Saccharomyces cerevisiae S288C: one gene and its partner. The protein of the gene in region 2 interacts with the protein of the main gene of each other region in a biochemical or structural test. Each region holds a gene or a part of one and is shown on either strand. Other genes may lie near its edges.

Evidence for each region.
Region 1: the proteins of PIB2 (region 2) and KOG1 form a complex in vitro, tested with the Saccharomyces cerevisiae proteins (one study listed by BioGRID).

The regions. Positions count from the first base shown.
Region 1 is NC_001140.6:474,741-483,034, forward strand, and holds KOG1 (ubiquitin-binding TORC1 subunit KOG1), read right to left. Parts: upstream 5,933-8,294; coding exon 1,259-5,932; downstream 1-1,258. Other genes in the region: PFS1 (Pfs1p), read right to left, coding at 1-600; Elongator subunit IKI1, read left to right, coding at 6,250-7,179; GPI-anchor transamidase subunit GPI16, read right to left, coding at 7,265-8,294. UniProt on the Saccharomyces cerevisiae protein: Component of TORC1, which regulates multiple cellular processes to control cell growth in response to environmental signals. Nutrient limitation and environmental stress signals cause inactivation of TORC1.
Region 2 is NC_001139.9:450,062-453,875, reverse strand, and holds PIB2 (Pib2p), read left to right. Parts: upstream 1-1,771; coding exon 1,772-3,679; downstream 3,680-3,814. Other genes in the region: dolichyl-diphosphooligosaccharide--protein glycosyltransferase subunit STT3, read right to left, coding at 1-1,472. UniProt on the Saccharomyces cerevisiae protein: Functions as an intracellular glutamine sensor that directly activates the TORC1 signaling pathway, to promote cell growth when glutamine is available. May play a role in repressing NPR1 activity independently of TORC1 signaling.

The DNA of each region.
Region 1 (8,294 bases), on a different chromosome or scaffold from region 2:
ATCCGTCTCCATACATGATGTTTTCTCGAATGTAAATTCTGTCTCTTCCCAATCCAACATATATTCATAATCAAAGCAGTTTGTAAATAAATAACCGTCGAACCCCACAAAAATTGGTAATCTTTCAAGCCAGCTTTCAACTTTTTCGGAACAAGGCATGTTTTGTGTTGTCCGTGGACTGAAATATGTCGGAATTTCAAATCCATTATTCGAATTATGTAAAACACTCCAGTTACTAAACTTGACATCTTGGCAATTAACTTTTTCAATGTGATTTAAATAGGATAAATAAGGGTTTGGTAATGGTAGCGTACCGTGGGGATACAAATTTGGCAAACAATTGATTGAAGAAAGCTGTGGTGACATACTGTCAGTAACTCTTATTGGTTTTTCGTATGCAGGCCACTGTTCGTGTTGTCGTCTTCTTAACGCTGGATTGAACTCAGGAAATGTTGTATTCTGTATCTTCCCGCAATCTGGTGGTATCTTATTAATTATCTCAGCAATCGGAGAGCTTCGAAAGTTGTTCATTTTATTTAGCTTCGATGTTTTAGTCTCCTTCAGTTCCGGTGCGGAAAGCTGTGTGTAACCTTGATTCATTTCGATAAAATTTGCGTTTTTATAAAATTCCCAAAAATACTGACTATGGTAGAAAAGATTTCAACGAGGAAGGTGGTAAAGATCAATGAAGTATCTTCAATCATTATGTAGGTTATAAGTAAATGTTTTTGTTTTCAATTATGTTCCATAGTTTGTGGTAGTTTTTCTTTGAAAACGACTGTGTCGGCCAGAATTGCTGTCGCATCACCAAAAAAAAAAAAAAATGATACAAAGACTGGGGATGAATGTTACGTAAACAGGAAAAAAAATATGTCGAAGGAGAGAGAAAAAATATTTAACAAAGTGCATGCCTCTAAACGTCGTAATTGGTCTGGCTATGACAAACAAAAAAATCGATGTTAAAATGTTCCAACCGAGGATCGAACTCGGGACCTTTGCCGTGTGAAGGCAACGTGATAGCCGCTACACTATTGGAACAGACTTTTAATATTCTGAACTTTCTGCTTTACTAAACATCGTATTATTATACGAACATGAAACAATAATTAACAACAAATTCCAGAACTTGCGACCAGCTGTTAAATTCACAATCAGACCAATTTTTTACTCGACTTTTATTATATAATAGATTATATATATATATATATATATATCTCTTTTGCAGCTAAATGAAAGAAAAAAAAAGAAATGGCACATATCAAAAATAATCAATTCTCTCGTCTTCACACTTGTAGATATTTACAATAGAATCGTGAGAATTGGTGGCCGCAATCATCATTCTATGAGGATGGAAAGCCATCGAAGATAAAAATGCATCAGAAGTGGAAGAGTAGGACAGTGACTTTGGGATTCCCGTAGCGGCTAATGTACTTGTTACGCCATTATTATGTGAGTTTTTAAAAGAATTCAAAAGATCTCCAGATGTCGTCCATATCTTTATTTGTTTAGTCCCTGTCGCAATTATCGGAGCATGCTCATGAACCTGCATGCACGTCATTGTCGTTGGTTTTTGTTGCGAACCGTACTGAGAAGTTACGTTTTGATCAACAAACGATTCTACCGGATCTTCGGACCTTATATCCCATAACTCTACAACACCATTGGTAGCTCCACTGACCAATTCTCTGTAACCACCTCTTTGTAAATGAACATTGTTAATCCAAACTCCCTGCTTATCATTTCCAGCTCTCCAGCGACGTATCATGGAATCTCTTGGATCGAGACGGCGATCATATACTCTCAGGGAGCCATCTGCAAACCCTGCTACGAAGATATTACCTGCTAGCTGATCAGCCGTCAAGGATGTAATTAAAGATGATGTTTTTGCAGGAATGTCCACTTCAACCGTTTCTGTATGCGCATCCCAGACACGGATAACCTTAACATCACCAGTTGTTAACAATGATCCTCTTATTTGTAACCATTCGGTTAGTAAACCTGTGGATCTAGGTGTCAATAACATATCGGTCAAGCCTCTCCAGGCGGATACAATTTTAAAGGTGTCGACATCTTGGTAGTCTCTGTATATTTTGATAACACCGTCTGAAGAACCTGTCAATAAAAGGGCGGAGTCATCCTCGTTAATGAGTTTCAGGTCAGTAACTTTTGTGCCAAAAGGAGTACCATTGGAGAATTTGGACAAAGTCTTTCCTTTCTCCCAATCAAAAACTGTAATGGTACTTCTATCATCTGCAGTAATCAGCTGATCTTCAAACTGGGCAAACTTCATCAGTTTTGGTTGACTTTTGTTATTTAAACTAATCAATTTTTTGGACCAATTCCCATAAATCGATAATTTTTTCTCCCCCTGTGTTTCCTGGATAATAGTTTCATTTCTGTTACGTCTCCACAATCTAGCATTATACTCAACACTGCCAGGTTCATCCGCCTCTTGCTTTTTCATTTGTGGTTCTTGAAAATATTCACGTGAATAGTCTAAAAAGGAACTATTTAATGGCAATTGTAAGGGTTCTGTATGCTTCCGGAATCTTGGAGTCTCAGCTGTAGGATAAATATTATTATTGCCATTCAATAAATATAAGCCCGAGGGACCCTTTTTTGAGGTATGCGATTTCATCGAAGTATTTGATGATTGAGTATCAGAGTCACTATTGGATTCGCTAAAACCAAGACTCTGGAAAAGTTTAGCTAAAGATGTCCGCATTGGATGAGATATCTTTGGGTCATGCTGTTGTTGCTCTTTTTTGAATGCATTATTATCTACCCTCTCATTTGGTGAGAATGATCGTAATGAACTTTTTACAAATTGAACCTGCGAAGAATTAAATCCAAATTTACCAGTTTGGTGAGCTTTCGAGCTTCTTTTCAACAAAAATTTTTCCATAACTGCAAATGGTCCACCAAGTTCCTTATGGGCGCTTAATTCAAGCAAAATATAATCTATAACCTGCTTGGATAATTCCTTGTTCTCTAAAAAGGGATCTTCGGCTAGAATCAAGAGAGATTTCCAAACAGTGTAGAAAATGGAACCCTGACTAACTGAATACTTATCGGAAGTGTTTCGAGTATTGATATCACTTTTCTCTAAAAGTTTTATTTCTTCCAACAAATCATTGAATACAACTACAATAAAAAAGTTAGAGTAACGACTCACAATATGCGAAAAATATACGACTAGTTCCTTACGGACTAATGATGAACCATCATTGATTAAAGGTAAGATTGAGATCAAGTTGCCAATTTCCTGTCTTTTTAACTTCCTCAAATCAATAACTTCTAGTTGATTTTGCATAACTTGACAATGACGAATCTGCTTTTCAATTTTCATCTGCTGCTGCTCAAGATGCTGCTGCTGTTGCTGGGACTGTTGTTGTTGTAGATGGGATTGATTTTGGAGATGCTGTAATTGCGAATGTAATTGCTGATACTGTTCTTCAAATTCTTGTTGCAATCTCAAAATTACCTCTGCATCTTGAAATCCAGATATGAAATGCTTCAATGCAAATATAGAAGCTGTTCTAACTTCAGGTACAGGGTCCTTCAAAGATTTTAGTAATATTTCAACAGCACCAGTATTCATACATACAAACCTGTTTAAGGGGTTATCAGCAAACAATAAACCTAATAAAATAACACACCACTGTCTTAGTAGGGGTATCTCAGAATTATCAATATAAAAGCACAACTTGTTGACCAGTTCCAAACTAAAACAATTTTTTTGCCCCAGAGGAAAGTTTCGAACGAATGATGCCAAAACAAAGACAGCCATAGCTTTTTGTTCATCGGTGGTATCATTAGAATGATAAAATGGAAGATTATTGTGGCCCAAGTTGGATGTTCTATTTCCTTGCTGGCGTTCATAATATCTTGAAGATGGACCATTTATATTCTGCGATGCAGTCATTGTCAACGGGTTCCCACTATTTATCATGGCTGAGCCATTTGTAGCTGACATGCCATTAACACCCCAATCAGGTACTAACACTGTAACAAAATACATATAACCCTTTTCTTTGATTAATTCACTTTGCGTGTTTTTGTAATCTATTGACATGATACGGGCCCAAATAAAAACTAGGATGGGCTTCAACTCAGGTGCTGGACTTTGTAGCAGCTTCAAAACGTAGGGGAAGATACCTATTGAAAGTGACAGGTAGACAGCCCACGGGCCTAAATCTAAAAATCTGGATAAAAGTACCAACGCACGTATACGATGCACTTGCGAAAGAAGAACCTGTAAAACGATAGGAAGCTGCTCAGGCGGGTGTCTGACATTTGAAGCATATTTCAACCACAATTCAAAAGCAGTCAAATTTTGTTCAAAAAATCCTGTAAATTGTTGTTGTTGTTGTTGCTGCTGCTGTAATTGTTGCTGTGAGCTTTGCAAAGATATAGATTTTCTTGATTGGAGAGCAGGGTTATTTACTAGAGACATTGTACTTAAATTGGCCACTGCAAATCTCGATTGTGTTTGAATACTTCCGGCTTTCGTATCTTGGGCATTCGACTTAGAGCTGCCACCATTCTGTAAGGTTTCTTGTTGTTGTAGAATCATCTGACTCTCTAAGGCAGTAGCGGGAGGAGCATTTTTCAGATCAATGACTATTTTAGTCAGTACTTCATCCATGGCTAAATCCCAAGATTTCCACATTGGATGTGTGGTTATACTATCTGGTAATTCTGGATCAGATACAGGATGGCAATTGTACCACGGCATTATTCTTTTGGCTAGAAGAAAATTTCTGAAAAGCGCAGCAATCATTAAATCATGTCTGAATAATTTTTTGAAAAGTGGTCGGGGGAGGGATGTCCATGCAATTGTGTCCGTTATAGCTGTAAAAATCCAATTTAGTTCTCCCAACGGCGTTCTCCTATCCGACAACATTCCAGGGATATTGACGTTGGGTATTTTGGACTTGAACGAGTTCTTACTATCACCAAACGGTTGATTTGAAGTACTATTTTCGAAGAAAATTTTATATTTAGAATCTTTTAAGGGTGACTGCATGAGAAAGATACGGATGCTAATCTCTATTGGACAGGTCAAACAACAACTAAACAAATCTGCGGGTAGTTCCGGACTCATAAGTAAAAGTTCATCGGAAGTGCAAGAGGCTAATTGGAAACAATCTTGATAAGCTGAAGTTGGTGATGGCGCGGCAACATCATGATTTCCCTCTTCATCATCTTTAATCCTCTTTTGCACAAACTTCTGAAAGTTGATTAATATATTTTCAGCACTGTTGCAATCATAGACAAATATACATGGCGCACCTAACCAAGTTTGCAGGTCATACAAAGATACCGGAATATATTGTGTATAACCTCTGTTGAAAACCCAAATTTCACCTGATTTTGTAGGCTTAGGCACACCATGTCCGTTGTAGTGGAAAAGTATCCTATCTTCCTTAGAAGTTCTTCTTAGCGAGTTGCAAAACCGTTTGACATCCTCTACACAAGGATCCAAGCTTTGTTTATAGCGTGTTCTCAAAGACAGAGTTTCGTACTGTGCTTGTAAGTTTTTACCAATTTGTTCTATTGCTTTCTTCGAGTCCTGGAAATTCAATGGGTCTACCCATGCTTCAACTCTGGCACAGGGATGTGTCTTCATAACATCAGGGGGATCGACACCTAAATTCAAGCATAATAAAAGGGCCGCACTTACTGTCTTCTGTCGATCTTTCATAATCTTCCAATCGGTAATCGGCTGGTAATAACGATTTACATCTCGTTGTTTATCCTCTTCAGGAATCGGATTTCCATTAGTTTTGTGTCGTTTATCATCAAAGTAGAATATGAAATCATTCGCGAGTGATTGTAAAAGTTGGTCACTTTGGTATTGCTCTTCAAACCCATGTCTCATCACCGTATTGAGTGGCTTTAATGGCTGAGGTCCATAAATCTCCGGCATTATGTATCTTTTACCCTTCTCTGCATGCAATAGGATTCGCTAAATGTAATCAAAGGAATCTACAAACCAAATGCATTCGAAAATAACTTTACAAGTTTTAAAATCCTCTATATACTTATGTAAAGTACTACCTATTGATGATTTATTAAAGTATTTTTGATACTATTAATGCTGCCTTGATTATCATCTCATAGTGCGGGTCACCTTGAAAAATCCAAATATAAGAAGCGATGCCATTATAACCTCTGGAGAATGATAACTTAAGAGCTTTTTAATAGCTCCAACCCAAGCTATTGCTACAGGTAGAACAAGATATAATGGCCAGTTCGTCACATAACCCTGTCATTCTTTTGAAAAGAATCTTATCGCTCACAGAAAGCTCCCCTTTCATTTTGTGCTTAGATTCTATTGCCCAGACCTCATACAAGCTCATCCAAGAATTCGTCCACCAGAGCAAGAGTAAAGGAAATGAGTATCCAATTGTGTACATTTCGTTCGAAACAGTGAATAAACCATCGTACTGTACTCAATTTATTGACGCTACGCAGATGGATTTTGTACATTTAGTGAAACAAATTATATCATATCTACCGGCTGCTACTGCCACACAGGCAAAAAAGCACATGGTCATTATCGATTCATTGAACTATATTTCTACAGAATACATAACAAGGTTTTTGTCTGAGATCGCCTCTCCTCACTGCACGATGGTTGCGACTTATCATAAAGACATCAAAGATGAGAACCGTACGGTAATACCTGATTGGAATAACAATTATCCTGATAAGTTGACTTTACTGCAGTTTATGGCCACTACAATAGTAGATATTGATGTGGTATTAACAGGCACTCTCGATACTGAGGAGGTGAGTGAATTGTTAAACGAATTTAGAATTCCTCGCGGGTTAAATAACGATATATTTCAATTACGACTTGTTAATAAAAGAAAGTCCGGCAGGTCATTGGAATACGACTTCATAGTAAATTCAAACACCCACGAATATGAATTATTATCAACCACTAAGCAAGAAGAGGAGAGCAGTAGTAACGGACTGGAGACACCCGAAATGTTGCAAGGATTAACAACATTCAACCTAGGAACATCCAACAAACAGAAGCTGGCCAAAGATCAAGTCGCATTGCCTTTTCTGGAGGCACAAAGCTTTGGACAAGGGGGTGCTATTGTTTATGAGTACGAAAAGGATGACGATTATGATGAAGAGGATCCATATGAGGATCCCTTTTAAAAAGTAGAAACTGATGGTAAATAGTGAGTGCTTCCAGATTATGTAAACTACGTATACTTCATACACATATCTAGATGCTAGATTGTTAGTCTGTTTTAGTCTTTTTTTTCCCTAGGAACTTTTCCTTTAGCTTTAGCAATTTGTATTTTAAGCCAGATTGCAACGTAATCTTATCGGCCTCTTCGACGGTGACCATTCTCTTCACCATCAAATTGTATAGCATACCGAATATGAGTCCCATGATTGTAGATGTTAGAATGATGACGTTATACGGCATACTAAAATCCGGTGTAGACAGGGATAACAATAGGGTAGAGGTTCTCATTTCATAAAGAGACGATGAGGACTCCAAAGATAGCACGGTGATTACAGCTGCATCGATTTCAAAACCATGGTTTGCATCTGGTGGATACTCGGCAAATTGCAGAAGAGCTTTATCGAATTGATAAGTCATTACAATGTCCGTATTAGCTGGAATTAACATCGTGAACTCCAAGTGGCCAGGTCTTTTTCTATCGGCCGCTTGTAAATAGTATTTATCTAAGATGATATCGTTTTCTTGCAATTGCGGAGAGGTAGTAGAAGTAATTTGAAGAGAGGATAGGTAAACTCTCATGAACCATGGCAATGATTCGAAATAAATCAACTTCACAGGGGTATCATTGTCGTTATGGAAAACAATACGCATTCCACCACGATCTTGTCCATTACCAGTCAGAGATCTGCTTACGTGAATTGGGACAGGAACTATGGGAGTAACTTTAGTAGTGTCCGTCGATTCTAAAATAAAGTCGTAGCCCGAACCACCCTCATTTTGATCGTTTGATAAGTCAAAGCAATTATCATGTGTGCTGAAAATAGTATCGTCAACTGACAAAAACGCAGTCCAGGTAGAACGGTCAACTTCTGCACAAATTCTTGTGGGCCTATTAGCAAACAGGTTGCCATTGTTTATTGGTCTGGCAAACAGCTGAGACAGCTTGAAGTGAGTCTGCGAAGGTTCCGGTAGAGGGAAGCATTGGTAAGAATCAAAGGGTTTATCCGTGTCACAACGCAATGTGTTCCCATCCAAAGGTTTGGGGATAGGTCTCTCACCTCTTGCCAAGGCGGAGGGA
Region 2 (3,814 bases):
GCCAATTTACCATCTGGGGTTTGTGATGGCAAAACAACAGAAGGAGAAGAGTATGCAGTTCTTGTTACCCAAGTAGAATGGAAGACGAAAAGATACAAATAAAAGATGAATGATCCGGAAACAATCAATTTGGCCAGTAGTGCCGCAGGTTTGATGGCGTATTTGCGGTCACTTGTCTTGAAATCCAGGTAGATGTCAAATATCTTGGACAATGCGACGGCGGCGGACACACAGATGACTGGTGTCAAAGTCAACATCAATCTAACCATAACACCGGCAAAGTACGAACACAGAACGGAGTAAGCGATGACAAAAACGTGCTCGTCTTTCAAGTCGAGGAATAGTAGGAATACACCGGCGGGGAATAGCCAGATCAAAAAGTGGGTATCAAAGAAGAAAGCGGGCCACGAAACGGGTTGATGTTCGGAAACGGAGGCAATGATAGGAATGTGGATCTTTGCGTAGTTGGTATCCCATAACGAATAAAATCTACCAGTCCAAGGGGCAATCAACCCCATATAGGTCAAGGCAGAAAGTCCGACCACACCAAGGACCAAGATCAAAAACAGAGAAACCATCATGATGACTTTAAACTTAGCTGTGCTGATTTGGCCCTTCACGAAGTCACCGAAGGCGACAATCTGAATCAAACCGAAAACACCCAATGCGGCCATGTGGTCGTTAGACCTGATAGGTAGGAAACCGACAAATGGGATCTGCATGGATGCAACAGTTCCAATAGCGTACCAAGTGGTGTAGGCAGAATACAGTTTGGACGAATATCTGCCCATCAAAATCAGCAAAAAGACATGGAGTGGGATCAAGTTGGTGATGAACACGTATCCACCCCAAGCCGACACCATGTAGAAGTAGAATAAAGCTGCACACGTTGCGTGCATGATAGAGCCAGTCTTTTGGGCCTTAATCCAAAACATGAAAGTGACCATTAATAGTGTAATGGCAATGGCCTCATTATCGTAGGACCCCGCCACTGATCTAGATATATAACCGGGGACAATGGCTATAAAACCAGCAGCCAAAAGCCCAGCGCTGGCATCTTTAATCTCTTTCGTAAATTCGTAAGTCGCCCAGGCGGTGACCCCAGAAAATAGTGGCGCAAATAGCACACAAACGTTTCTGATGTCAATGGGCAAGCCCAACCAGTTGCGCAGGGCGTGCCAGATGAACGCACTAGTCGTCATCAAACCAGGATATAAAGTCCCTCCAGTAACCCTTCCGAGGGGGTACCAGGTACGGTCGTCAAACCAGTTCAAAAACTTGTAAAACGAATTGTTGACGAGATATTTGGTAGCCCTATAATTGAACCAGGGGTCGAATTCATGGATAATAGACTCAAATTTGATGACTGCAAACAAACGTGATGATATGGCAGCCCCAAAAATCGCCACGAAGATGACGAGCTTGAGGATGGTCTGAAACACAGACAAAACACACGACCGGTCGGATCCCATGGCAGCTGTGATAATGACGAATGGTAGTTAGGATTTACGGCTGTGAATGCGATTGCGGATGCTATGTCACGTTGAATTAGACCGTGCTTTTGCTGCTTTTCTTTCTTTCAGACTTGCTCTTTTGTTCGTGTCTTATTTTGTCAATTCTCGACCAGCGCGAAAAAGCAACCGTCGATGGTGACCATTTAGCAGAGGCGAAGAGAAGTAAAAGAAAGCTTATGATATGACTATTGAGACCTGGAATAGGTACGAAGCGCCAGTGAGGAGGACTGGGCAGCACAGTTGTAGTGGAGACCAGAATGACTGCGTTGCATAGTGTGTCCAAAACGCCCGCGATCAAGGAAGAGGAGGAGGACGGTGATGAGCGAGACGGCAGAGGAGTTCCCCTGGGACCAAGGAACCATGACTACCGTGGCAGGAAAGGTGATGAGGAAAGCGGTGCTGACACCGTGACATCTCCCATCACGTTTGAAAAGAAGAAGATAGCGCCCAGGGCGTCAACGCATTCCGAACAGAGTATTTTGAGCAGCATCTCATTGAAATCGATGGTAAATCAACATCGTCAGCAGCAGTTGCAGCAAGAGAGCTCAACAGGGGCAGGCACTGGGTTTGTTGACAGAAAGCAGCAGATCCAATCTCCGGCGATGGTGTCCATATTGAGGAAGAACTCTGCTGAGGAGAATGTTCGCAGCAGCCACAGTAGCAAGCTCGGTGAAGGGCAGATAGATGGTAGGAAGGCTTCTGCTAGTAAGGAGATCGGCAAGACGTTGCCATTCACGGATGACCAAAGATCGAACCCTGAACTAGATCCCACCAATAGCGTGGTGGATGTTAGCAGGGGCAAGAATACAAAGAGCAAAACTGTGTTCAATGAGTTAGAAGATGATGCCGATGACGATGACGAGGTTCGACAAAAGAATCTAACCACGCAGGCGTTACGCAAGTTGTCGTCGTTCAAAATGAATGCTAGTTCTAATTTGAGGTTGAGTAAAGAAAACAAGGCGAAAGAGTCTTCATCTTCGTCCACGTCTTCAGTGTCGTCATCGTCGACGTCGAAGGTGGAAAATATTGTCGACAAGCTGACTACAACGAATTCTAGCTCGATGTCCCAACTGCGGTTTGGCAACACGAACGTCATTATTGATTCGGTGAATCATGCGGCGAAACCGCCGCATCAGCAGATGCTAAGGAAACCCTCGCTGGAATTTTTACCGCAGCCTGCTTCGAGCACTAATCTGAATTTTAATTCCAATAAACATAAATCAAATGTAAGACAGATCAGTAACCCTAAAAAACCGCTATACATCCCCGCCGTGCTGAGGAAAGTTTCAGAGACAAACATAACTAATGACGATCTGTTGAATGCAACATTGTCGTCTTACTACAAGAAGGCATCTAACCTGGAACATGGCTTTAATCCAAGCAAGTCGCAATCCGCTAGCGTTCAGAATGCGAACAACCTACGGATCATATCTTCTCAATCCAGCGTACAATCCAACACATCGTCAATCTTGGAAAGCTACAAAAACAAAATATCCTCGTACTTGTTCCCGAATTCTATTCCGAACAGCGACAGAATCAACTTAATACCAACTATTTCAAACAGAAACTCTGCCAGAGTAAACCCGCCCACTAAGGACCACTGGATTCCGGACAGTAAGAGGAATTCTTGTCGTTACTGCCATAAGCCTTTTACCCTGTGGGAAAGGAAACATCATTGCAGGCATTGCGGGGACATCTTTTGTCAAGACCATTTGCGCCATTGGCTGTACCTGGACTCGCAGGCAAATTTTATAATGATCAACGAACTAAACAACGGTGGCATAAATGGCGGTGGCACTCTCTGTAAAATATGCGATGACTGTCTGGTCGAGTACGAGAACCTTTCAACCACGAACCATAACGCAAACACGAACGAGGATAACATAAACGTTGAGGAGGGCGAAGATGACGATAATGACAATAGGAAGAAATTACGCAATTACTACAAGAATAGGCAGATGAACGCTCTTTTCAGACCAAAGAAGGGCGGTTCGTCCCAAGAGCATGCCACGGTTGATCGAGACACAACAACGCCCATCCAGGTGAAGTCGAACGACGAAGAAGCAGATAATGAGAATACGGGGGGAGAACAAGAAGAAGGTAATGATGTTTTGGGCAGTGTTATCGGCTCTGTGCCTGCAAACTGGAATTGGAGTAGTTTCTGATGAACATTTTTTGCGAGACAAGCGAAGAGAGGATGTACACTATTGATGTATGACCATTATGTATACAATAAACTTAATATAATATGATATAATATAATATAATATATAACACTAACACTTTCCTGAGGATTTTCG